Linked DNA regions of Sus scrofa. The protein of the gene in region 1 binds, or shares a complex with, the protein of each later gene. Links are inferred from orthologs where the notes say so. Each region holds a gene or a part of one and is shown on either strand. Other genes may lie near its edges.

The links. Proteins that work in one complex are often made in the same cells at the same time.
Region 2: the proteins of ARF1 (region 1) and IQSEC2 are in contact, whole or in part, in a crystal structure (PDB 6FAE), measured with the Homo sapiens proteins. The link is inferred for Sus scrofa from reciprocal best matches to the Homo sapiens genes ARF1 and IQSEC2. Residues at the interface, in NP_001019397.1 of Homo sapiens: Arg19, Gly24, Leu25, Asp26, Ala27, Lys30, Thr31, Ile46, Pro47, Thr48, Ile49, Gly50, Phe51, Asn52, Val53, Glu54, Thr55, Thr64, Trp66, Asp67, Val68, Gly69, Gly70, Gln71, Lys73, Ile74, Pro76, Leu77, Trp78, His80; in NP_001104595.1 of Homo sapiens: Arg810, Gln811, Gln841, Arg845, Val846, Gln847, Gly848, Glu849, Ala850, Gln851, Val853, Glu854, Glu858, Asp879, Phe882, Ile883, Phe886, Ala887, Ile889, Leu890, Asn892, Thr893, Asp894, Tyr896, Ser897, Pro898, Ser899, Val900, Arg904, Met906.
Region 3: the proteins of ARF1 (region 1) and AP3D1 are in contact, whole or in part, in a cryo-EM structure (PDB 9C5B), measured with the Homo sapiens proteins. The link is inferred for Sus scrofa from reciprocal best matches to the Homo sapiens genes ARF1 and AP3D1. Residues at the interface, in NP_001019397.1 of Homo sapiens: Tyr35, Ile46, Pro47, Thr48, Ile49, Gly50, Phe51, Asn52, Val53, Glu54, Trp66, Lys73, Ile74, Leu77, His80, Tyr81, Gln83, Asn84; in NP_003929.4 of Homo sapiens: Lys48, Asp50, Phe77, Ile80, Glu81, Ser84, Asp107, Met110, Leu111, Thr112, Thr113, Asn114, Gln115, Arg117, Lys118.

What each region holds. Positions count from the first base shown.
Region 1 is NC_010444.4:51,234,359-51,237,185, forward strand, and holds ARF1 (ADP-ribosylation factor 1), read left to right. Parts: upstream 1-1,196; 5' UTR 1,197-1,197; coding exon of another isoform or gene 1,198-1,234; coding exon 1,235-1,382; coding exon of another isoform or gene 1,383-1,460; coding exon 1,461-1,571; intron 1,572-1,675; coding exon 1,676-1,800; intron 1,801-1,957; coding exon 1,958-2,119; 3' UTR 2,120-2,153; downstream 2,154-2,827. UniProt on the Homo sapiens protein: Small GTPase involved in protein trafficking between different compartments. Modulates vesicle budding and uncoating within the Golgi complex. In its GTP-bound form, triggers the recruitment of coatomer proteins to the Golgi membrane.
Region 2 is NC_010461.5:46,014,931-46,018,668, forward strand, and holds part of IQSEC2 (IQ motif and SEC7 domain-containing protein 2), read right to left. Parts: intron 3,093-3,738; coding exon 2,993-3,092; intron 2,775-2,992; coding exon 2,646-2,774; intron 2,389-2,645; coding exon 2,227-2,388; intron 101-2,226; coding exon 1-100. UniProt on the Homo sapiens protein: Is a guanine nucleotide exchange factor for the ARF GTP-binding proteins.
Region 3 is NC_010444.4:76,462,763-76,466,500, reverse strand, and holds part of AP3D1 (AP-3 complex subunit delta-1), read right to left. Parts: intron 3,727-3,738; coding exon 3,580-3,726; intron 3,365-3,579; coding exon 3,317-3,364; intron 3,056-3,316; coding exon 2,866-3,055; intron 2,730-2,865; coding exon 2,641-2,729; intron 2,547-2,640; coding exon 2,461-2,546; intron 1,985-2,460; coding exon 1,863-1,984; intron 1,760-1,862; coding exon 1,680-1,759; intron 1-1,679. UniProt on the Homo sapiens protein: Part of the AP-3 complex, an adaptor-related complex which is not clathrin-associated. The complex is associated with the Golgi region as well as more peripheral structures.

The DNA of each region.
Region 1 (2,827 bases):
CTCCCTACCTGCTTGGAACAAGTTCTCTGGTTCATTTGGTTTTCTGTCAACACTCACACAGAGTTCTTTACAGTTGAAAGCTACCACAGTGTGGCTTCACTTAGATGCTAAAAATCCAGATTCCTTAGCTTTCAGCATTTGAACTTTCTCCCTTCTTGTTTGCAACTAAAACTGTTAAAGAGTGAAAGTGCTGAATGTGGAGGGGCCAGGCCTAGGCAGCCTTGGTGCCCTGGGGACATTTCAGGATGGGAGATCTCCTCTTCCCATGAGCAGCACTCTCCCACAAATGACAAATTACGGTCACTTGTGCCTTCCTGCAGATCTGGGTGTCTGGGGCTGGCTGGGCTCTGACCTTGTGTCCTAGCCAGCTTGATGGTATCCCAGTGTTTCTGCTCTACTGGGTAAGGAAAGCCTGGGAGGAACATGTTCTTGTGTGAGCATGTTGCTACACGGAATAGGCCTTCTCTCAAGGATAGCACTGACCATAGCTTTCGGCAAAGTTTCCCCTGACAGGCTCTCCAGGACCGTTGCTGTGAGTTCACCTTTGGACTGCATGCCTTCATGTGCTACCCTAGAGCCCAAGTGTTTTCACCCCCTGGTCCTACCTGCAGGATGTGCTAAGCTCTCAGCATGTTAATAAAGGTTGGCTTTTGGTCTCTGCCATGGGCCCTTCTAGCTCCTTGTGCTTTGGTCATCTTAACATGGACTGTGTTTCACTGAGACTTGGGGCAGTTGGGAGGAATGGTAGGACCTGGCAGTGGTTGTTTCTGGCTCCTTGAAGAGCTCTGTTAGATGGTGGAGAATCTAGCATTCATTTGAAAGCCACACCTCTTCATGCATGTTGGACATTACCTCCCACAGTGGCAGGTTGAAGGTCTTAAAGGTAAGTTGCCCTGTGACCTTGGGCATCATTTCCGGAGATAATGGCAGCAGCTGTTTCAAATTCCGGTCATCCTTATTCTAAGATTCCCATACTCTCCGTTCTAAGGGTAATTTGGGGGCTCAAGAAGCAGGTGGACGGGTTTGTCTTGTTTGGAAACCAGGTTATTTATCGGCTTATGCCTTGAGTTTCCAGGAGAGATAGCAGAGCCTCTGTCTGCCTGTGGGTGAGTGGGTAGGGGTGGTCTCTCAAGCTGCTCCTGTTCTGCTGACCCTGGGCAGCACAGAAAGAGACCCAGGGGCTTCTTGTTTCGACAGGTTTCTCTGGCCAGTGTTGCTCCCACCAGTCTACAGCATGGGGAATATCTTTGCAAACCTCTTCAAGGGCCTTTTTGGCAAGAAAGAAATGCGCATTCTCATGGTGGGTCTAGATGCTGCGGGAAAGACCACCATCCTGTACAAACTGAAGCTGGGTGAAATCGTGACCACCATTCCCACTATAGGTGAGGAGGCCGGGCCTCGGAGGCTAAGGGGTAGCAGTGGCTCTAGGGAGATGCTCACCTTGGGTCTTACTCCTCCAGGCTTCAACGTGGAAACCGTGGAGTACAAGAACATCAGCTTCACCGTGTGGGACGTGGGCGGCCAGGACAAGATCCGGCCACTGTGGCGCCACTACTTCCAGAACACGCAGGGTGAGGGTGGAACCCAGTTGTACCCCTCAAGGAGGGCCATGGCCTGTAGGAGAGGTCGGGGATGTCCTCGGTGCCTACACTAATGCTCACTCCTCCCTTTGCAGGTCTCATCTTTGTGGTAGATAGTAATGACAGAGAGCGTGTGAATGAGGCCCGAGAGGAGCTCATGAGGATGCTGGCAGAAGACGAGCTCAGGGACGCTGTTCTGCTTGTGTTTGCTAACAAACAGGTATGCATGACTGAGCTACCCTGTTGCTGGGTGGTGGGCACATGTCAGGTGGTTGGCCTCTCAGGTCTGAGGGTCTGATGAGGGAGTAACAGGACGGGTGGAAAGGGTTCCATGCAGTTTCCTTGACCCATGCCTATTGTGCTGCCTCTCCCACCAGGACCTTCCCAATGCCATGAATGCAGCCGAGATCACCGACAAGCTGGGCCTACACTCTCTGCGCCACAGGAACTGGTACATTCAGGCCACCTGTGCCACCAGTGGTGATGGGCTCTATGAGGGACTGGACTGGCTGTCCAATCAGCTCCGGAACCAGAAGTGAGCTGTACACCTCTCTCCTCCCCTCTCACTCCCTCTTCTACCCTTGCTTTACTCTCATGTGGCAAACGTGCCCCTGTGGTGTGAGTGCCAGAAGCTGTCTCCATGGTCAGTCACAGTGTGCTTCACCATGCTGTAAATGTGCAGACGCAGCCTGCAACTGGGTTTTTATTTAATGTAAATAGTTTTTGTTTCCAATGAGGCAGTTTCTGGTACTCCTATGCAATATTACTCAGCTTTTTTTATTGTAAAAAGAAAATCAACCCACTGTTTAGTACTGAGAAAGGATTTTAGGCACACGGGTCCTCTAGAAGTCACGTGTCAGACAGGCCCAATCCTCCTCCTCTGGGCTTTAGATCTGTGTTGAGATCCATTTTGGTGGTTGGTTTTTAACCCAAACTCAGTGCATTTTTTAAAAATAGTTACAAATACAAGATAAGGAGAACACTTGAACACACAGAAGGGAGAAATGTGCCTAGTGTAGGTTCTGCAGTAATCACCTGAGTCCAGTCCACTGGTGGTCTGTTTCCCATTGGGAACATGAAATGAAATGGAGCAGAACCAGCCATGATCCATTCTGCATGGTCACAATAGGATCCCTCTGATTGGCTCTGTCTTGGGTCATCCCACACCCCATTGCGTTTTTGCTTGTATTTGTGCTCACATGGCCGCCCAGGAGATGGACTGGAGCTGCAGCCACTGCTCCCAGACC
Region 2 (3,738 bases), on another chromosome or scaffold:
TCCAGGCTGCTTCGGGCCAGCGTGCCATTCACGGAGTCCTTGGCCCCTCCGGGCTGTGAGGCGTTAGGCCGCATCAGACCTTTCTGCTTCTCCAGCTCCGCTGCGTGGCAGTGGGGGGAGACATGAAGCAAAGGTCAGGGACAGGAGTGAGAGGCCACCTGACTGACCCCAGCCCTCTTTGGGCCTCCCGTCTCCTCACTCGCTCTAGACAGCCAAAAATCTAAACTAGAGTCCTGCTCTGCCCCATGGACAGCCAACCTCAGTTACATCTCCTAAGTCTTGCAGCGCCCAGCCCTTCACGCATCATCTCCTCTGGTTCAATCTTCCCTTGTCCCTCTCGGTGCCTGCTCCTCCAGCTCGTGTCCCCTTGCATCTCCCCTCCCCTGCCTAGTCTCTCAAACCACTCCTGCCTTTCAAAACAGAGTGTTACAGCGGCTGCTTTGTTCCCAGGAGGGGCAGGAAGGCCCTTCAAGCCTATGGCAAGAGGCAGTCAATCATTCCAGAGCCTGCTCCATTCTCAGATACCTTGCTCCAGAGCAGGGGGCTCCTGGAAGGACAGGAGCAGAAAAGCAACAGGAATCAGATCCTCTATTATGTGCCAGCAGTATGCTGGGGGCGATGCGTATCTGATCTCTCAATCCTCACACCAGTTCAGAGGTAAGTATGAGCAGCCACAGCTTTCAGAGGAAGAAACACAGAGCTTGCCCAGAGTCATACAGCTGGAAATGGGGGAGCCCACACCCTGGAAGCAGGTCAGAGCCTGTGCCTCCCTGTGGAGGTCACGGAGACTTCTACTTATTGCCCTCCCCTCAGCCTGGCATGCTCACCCCTCTTTCAGAAGGTCTCCAGGGTCTCAAGGATCTGGTGAGCTGAATGAGTGTCCCTGCCTTGCTGAGAAGCAGAGCAGACCCTGAAGCTGTGAAGGCCTCTCACCAAGGAGCTGTCAGCTGCCTCTGTCTCTCTCTGTCTCTCTCTACCTGCCTCTTTTTCCTTAACACGGTATTACTTAACTTCCACTGCTTAGCCTGAGAAGAGAAAACGTAGAGGGCACTGGGAGGAATGAGATGTAATCCCTATTTTCTGTTCTTTCTTTGCCTTTTAGGGCTGCACCCACGGTACATAGAAGTTCCCAAGCTAGCTGTCCAATTGGAACTGCAGCTGCTGGCCTACGCCACAGCCACAGCAACGCAGGATCCAAGCCACATCTGCGACCTACACCACAGCTCACAGCAACACTGGGTCCTTTAACCCACTGAGCGAGGCCAGGGATCGAAAACACATCCTCACAGATACCAGTCAGGTTCATTACCGCTGAGCCACGATGGGAACTCCCATTAATTTCCATTATATAGGATTGAAATGGTTCGAGGTAGTCCCTGAAGGCCAGGAGGATGGGTCCACCGGAACTCAGTTTGGGATGCAGAATGTGTGGAGAAAAGAGAGGCTGGGAAGGGGAGTGACATTTGTTGGACACCTAGGATGTTCAACACGCATGTCCAATGAACATGTAGGATAAATCAGAGTTCCCGTCGTGGCGCAGTGGTTAATGAATTCGACTAGGAACCATGAAGATGCAGGCTCGATCCTTTGCCTCGCTCTGTGGGTTAAGGATCTGGCGTTCCCGTGAGCTGTGGCGTAGGTCACAGATGAGGCTCAGATCTGGCGTTGCTGTAGCTGTGGTGTAGGCTGGAGGCTACAGCTCTGATTAGACCCCTAGCCTGGGAACCTCCATATGCCGCAGAAAAGACAAACAAAACAAAACAAAAACAAAACAAAACAAAACATGTAGGATAAATTCTCCACCTTATCCCATTGAAATCTCCACATCTCTATGAAGAGGATTTCACCACCTCAATTCCATGTAGAAGGAAATCGGGGCTCAGAGAGTCAGGCAACTGGCCCCAGTTCACCCAGATAATAAGTAGCATACCTGGGATCTGAAACCACAACTCCTACCTCCAATACCCTGATTCTTCTCCCTGCTGCCTTTCAATAGAAGGAAGAGTTGGCTCAAAATGAGGGCTTGGAATAATAATTTGAGGTTGAGAGGTAATGAGCCCCTCACCACTCCAGGTATTCAAGCAGAGGCTGAAGCATTCCTGGAATGAGGGTAGGAAGGTTGGACAAGCTAACCCTCAACTCTGAGCTTTACAAAGGACAAGATTCCCAGTGTCTGCAAGGCATGGTCTCAGGCAACGAGGAAGGAGACGTGGCTGGGCTACTCACACTCCACCCGGTATTTCTCCATCTCTTGCACCTCAGCAATGGACTCGCGCAGGTCAGATGTGAAGCGCAGCCGGTCCTGGAGGCTGGGGGCATTGAAGATGATGAGGACTTTGCGCTCCCCGCCGGGTACCGCAGACAGCAACTTGATCCCAAACTGGTAATCTGTGTGGAAGGGGGAGGTGAGGTACCTCTGTCAGAAGTGAAGCAAAGTGGCTCATACGTGAAATAATTTTTCTCATGTCCAATTCTGATCCAGCCTCTTCTCTGCATGAGCAGCAGCAGCAGCTCCGCTTTGCTCCAAAGCCCCCAAACTCTTGGGAGTCATGGCCCTGGTACTCCCTTACACCCCAGGTGTAAAGGTAGACTGAACTCTTGCTGCTCTCTGGAACCCCTTCCTTCACACCTCTGCCTCTACTCACATTGCTTCTGCTGCCCAGAAGGCCACCCATCAAAGCTCCTCTGGCTCAGTCCTTCAATGCGCCGCGGGATCACCATCTCTCCGGCCCACCAGAAAACGTACGTGCTGAGGTTCTCTGCCAGACCATGAGCTTCCCAGGGCAGAGACCCAAGTCATACTCCACCCTGGCCTGCCTTGCATCCCGGGACCAAGTAGGTGCTTTGGAGACCTTAGCCCAGTTATAAAGGAGTCCAAGAAGGAGAGGTTGGTGTGGAGGAAGGATGAGCATGGGGCGCGGGGGTGGGGTGGGGGTGGGGGTGGGGGCAAGGCAAAGACTGTTGGGATGCTGGGATCCAAAAAGGGACTCACATGAATTCTGGAAGAGCTGCATGTGCATTTCCACGAGAGGAAAGGACTGACGGAAGCTGTACGTCACCAAGATCTTCTTCTTCTGGAAAATTTTGGTGACCTTTGGCAGGGGTGGGAAAAAGACAAGAGGCAGGGTTTGGGGTGGGGAATTTCCACATGGCACCTATTTCTTGTAGCTGTCCTCCCCTCCCACCACCATGAACAGACATGTACGCACAAACACACATACCCACAAGTTGGGGAGAAATGAAGCTTGCAGAGCAGAACAGGAGAGACGGGAGAAAAATGCAAGTTCCTGATATAATGATGATGCACAACAGGCACTTAGGATTTTTAACAGGAACTAACTTAATGCTGCTCCCTCTAGGAAGCCTGTTCTAACATGTCACATAGACATCCTCTCCCACCCCACCCCATTCTCTGAGCTTCCAGAGTGCTGGTTCAGTGTCTTTCACCATGAGGCTTTAGGAGAGCGCTCTGAGTGTGTGATTGCTGGACTGGCGGTGCCCAGGGGAATCTAGTTTTCACGCATTTCGCCCACCTCAACCAGACCCATCGCACATCAGCAATCTCCAATAAACCAATGTATAGAGTTAACGAGTCTTCTCAATAACCCAAGGTCTTTCTCAAGTACTCGGGTACTCCAGATTCAGCTAACATGGGTTATAAACACTTCAGACCATCTGCAAGTGTTGTTTCAAAGTACATTATCCCATCTCAGGATGCTTACAGTACACAGGTGAAGC
Region 3 (3,738 bases), about 25 Mb from region 1:
CCACAAAGACCACAGTTCAATGGCTTGTCAGTAACACAAAAGCAACAGGAAACTCTGATCCATGTGACATAGAAGAGGTCTTGATAGAAATTAGAAAATGTTTTAAACTGTACAGAAATGAAAATAAATCATTAAAATTTGCAGGGTTCAGCTAAAGGGCAATGCTTAGAGAAAAATTTATGGCACTAAACATTTTCTTAGAATAAACAGGTCTTTTGGAAAGGTCCAAGTTTCCACCTTAACAACCTCACAAAGGAGCAAAATAAACCCCAAATAGAAGTAAGGAGCTAGGCAGCATAACTCCATAAAATTTACTTACTGTTTAAAAACATGGTAACTTTTTTTTTTTGGCGCCTACCCACTACATGTGGAAATTCCTGGGCCAGGGATTAAACCTATACCATAGTAGCAACGCAAGCTTGACAATGGTGGATCCTTAACCCACTGGGCCACAAAAAAACCTCACACAGTAACTTTATTTTAAAAGTTGGTTCTGGGAGTTCCCACTGTGACTCAGCAGTAATGAACCCAACTAGTATGAGAATGCGGGTTCGATTCCTGGCCTCACTTAGTGGGTTAAGTATCCAGTGTTGCTGTAAGCTGTGGTATAGGTCGCAGATGCAACTCAGATCTGGCCCTGCTGTGGCTGTGGTGCAGGCTGGCAGCTGCAGCTGATTCGAGCCCAAGACTGGGAACTTCTGTATGCTGTAGGTGTCGCCCTAAAAAAGTTATTTCTGAAGTTGATTTTTCAAAAGAGCAACAAGAAATTTCCTGGTGGCTCAGTGGGTTAAGGAGTTGGCGTTAAAGCTATGTTTCTGGTTTGATCCCTGGCCCATGAACTTCTGCATGGCGCTGGCAGGGTCACAAAAAAAAAGGATCGACAAAATGGGTAAGTCTTCTAGCCAAGAAAAATGGGAGAAGACACAAATTACCAACATCAGCAATGAGGGAAGGTTTTCACTGATCCCTCAGAGACTAAAAGGACAAGAACACTCAACCCATGATCAACTCTGTAACTAGGATGAAATGGACCACATCTTGAAAACCACAAACTACCACGACTCATACAAGAAAAAACAGATAAATTAAGAATTCCTACAATTTTGGAGTTCCCGTCATGGCTCAGTGGTTAATGAATCTGACTAGGAACCATGAGGTTGCGGGTTCGATCCCTGGCCTTGCTCAGTGGGTTAAGGATCTGGCGTTGCCGTGAGCTGTGGTATAAGTTGCAGACGCAGCTTGGATCCTGCATTGCTGTGGCTCTGGTATAGGTTGGTGGCTGCAGCTCCAATTCGACCCCTAGCCTGGGAACCTCCATATGCGGCAGGAGTGGCCCAAGAAGTGGCAAAAAGACAAAAGGACAAAAGAAAAAAAAAAAAAGAATTCCTGCAATTTTAAGAAGTTGAAGTTGTAGATAAAAACCTTTCAAAAAAGAAGGCCCCTGACCTGATTTCCTTGGTGAATTCTACATAACATGCAAGAAGATGTACACTGACTACACGCCACCTCTTCTACAAAAGGCTAGAGGAAGGAATGCCTCCCCACTTAGTTGGTGAGGTCCCAGTGCCAAGGCCAGAGGAGCGCAGGATAGGCCAACATCCTCCTGAACAGGGCTCAAAGCTGCAAAGGCACAGTGCTGAGGAGTGGAAAGGCTGGGTGGGACCTTCCTGAGGGCTCACCTTCTTCACCAGGAGGCAGACGTGGTGTCCCTGGATGGAGCGGCTGTACATGGAGGCGCAGGAATCCACTCGTTCCACAACTACAACAGAGGGCAAGGGGTGAGGCTGGGCCAGCCCTGGGGTGGGGAGGAGTCACATGTGTAGAAAAGCAGAGCCATCTATCAGCCATGTCCAATCCCTTACCGGAAAAACGGTGATGAAAACAGATCTTTGCCAGAAGGTTCTGGAAGGACATACTAATGCCATCAACCTTGATTGAGCTCATGCTCAGGTCCCCAGACTCCAACAACTTGGCAAAGGCATCACTGTGGGAAAGGGACGGAACGGGACAGTAAAAACAGGGGGCCTTGGTGTGTGCCTGTGGCTTAGGGTCTCCAAGGGTGCTGTGAGAAATCAAGAGCTGGACTATGTCCCCGAAACTCCTATGTTGAAGCCCAGACCCCCAGGACGTCAGAATGCAACTGCATTTGAGACTGGGGTCCCTGTGAGAACAAGACACGTGACCGTCTGCACTCCAAACAGGATGGCCTCAGGATGACCCACTTCTGCCATCACTGGTCTCAGCCTGCAGCACTGGGAGGAAACCAATACCTGTGCTTGGACCACAGGACCTGCGCTCAGTGTTATGCAGCTGAGCTGGCCGGCACAGCAGATATGCTGGGCTTTTTGTGCTCACCATAAACCGGTCACCCGACAGTCCGTGCACTCTCACACCTTAAATCAGAGAGCATGGCTGAGGTGATTGCACCCAGAGCCTGGCACAGCATGGAAGGGGGCATACCTGTAGCAAGGTGTGGTGACCAAGTAGGAGGTGCAGGTGAAGTGCAGCTTGAAGTCGAGCTTCTCATGGGTGGAGCCTTCGTCATTCTGTTGGAGTAGGGATGCAGGGTGAGTGTGGGCATGGCTCCAGAGTAGGGGTTCTCTCAGCTGGCGGCCCCACTGCTGCCTTGCTTCCCCGTACCTTGGCAATGAAGGATAGTGTCCCCTTGAGCTTCTGCGCCATGACGATGCTCTGAATGGTGAACACAAACTGGGCTTCGTTGGAGATGCCTAGTGAGGGTGAGAGGGGCCTGAAAAGCAGCGCAGGGTGCAGCCTGGGAGCGTGTGTGTGGCTATCCCAGCAGGTGGCAGGTACCCCACAACCCAGGGTCTGCCCTCAGTGATGGCCAGTCCTGGGGCCACTCACCAGGGGGCAGCTGGAAAGGCACAGGGACACCATCATGGACTGAGGAGCCCTCTGGCCGGGCCAGCCGGGCGTTGAGTGAGTCCAGCACGTTGAGTTCCATACTCTTGAGGAAGCTGCTGCTCTGGTTCTCCAGGACCACGGACACGGTGACCTGGCTGTCCTTCTGCAGGCTGCCCTGCACATCGTATGTCTGCACAGAGCAAGGCAAGGTCAGCAGTGCAGGGAGCCCACCAGGGGCCCCTCTGGGCCTGGATGAAGGCCCAAAAGTGTGAGCACAAGTATGCAAAGGAAGGAACGTTCTGGACCCTCACTCAAGGACACTGAGTTTCAGATATGTACACAGATTTTAGCTATTCCCGATGCACGGCTCTGCCTCCACACACCCTCACAGAGAAAGGACCCCCCCGAGCCTTCCGTGGACCATGCTCTCTGAAACACACTTCTCACTCACCATTTTGATGTACGAATTTTCAGCCAAGAGGCAGTAGCTAGACATGGGCTGGGAATAAGAGAAAAACGTGTCAGCTTTGGGTGCCAAGAACCTGAGCGTGATGTCTGCTGAGGGTGGGGCCAGGTGTAAGCTTCCAGGTGCTCCCGCAGGAAATGCTAGGCCCAATGGAGCGGGTCCTGGACAGCATGAGCCCACACCTTGGGGCTCCTGACACTGTCAGGGCTGTCTGGGGAGGACCAGGCAGGCGCCAGTGGCACCCTCACCGGGAGGGGCTCCTCATCTAGTGCGCCGTTCTCCACGGGCTCAGCCACTCCTTCCCTTGGAGGTGTCTTCTTTTTGGATTTCTTCTTGTCTTTGGGCCTCTCCTCCTTGTCCTTCTTGTGTTTCTTCTTCTTCTCCTTGGAAGTTTTCTAAACAGAAAT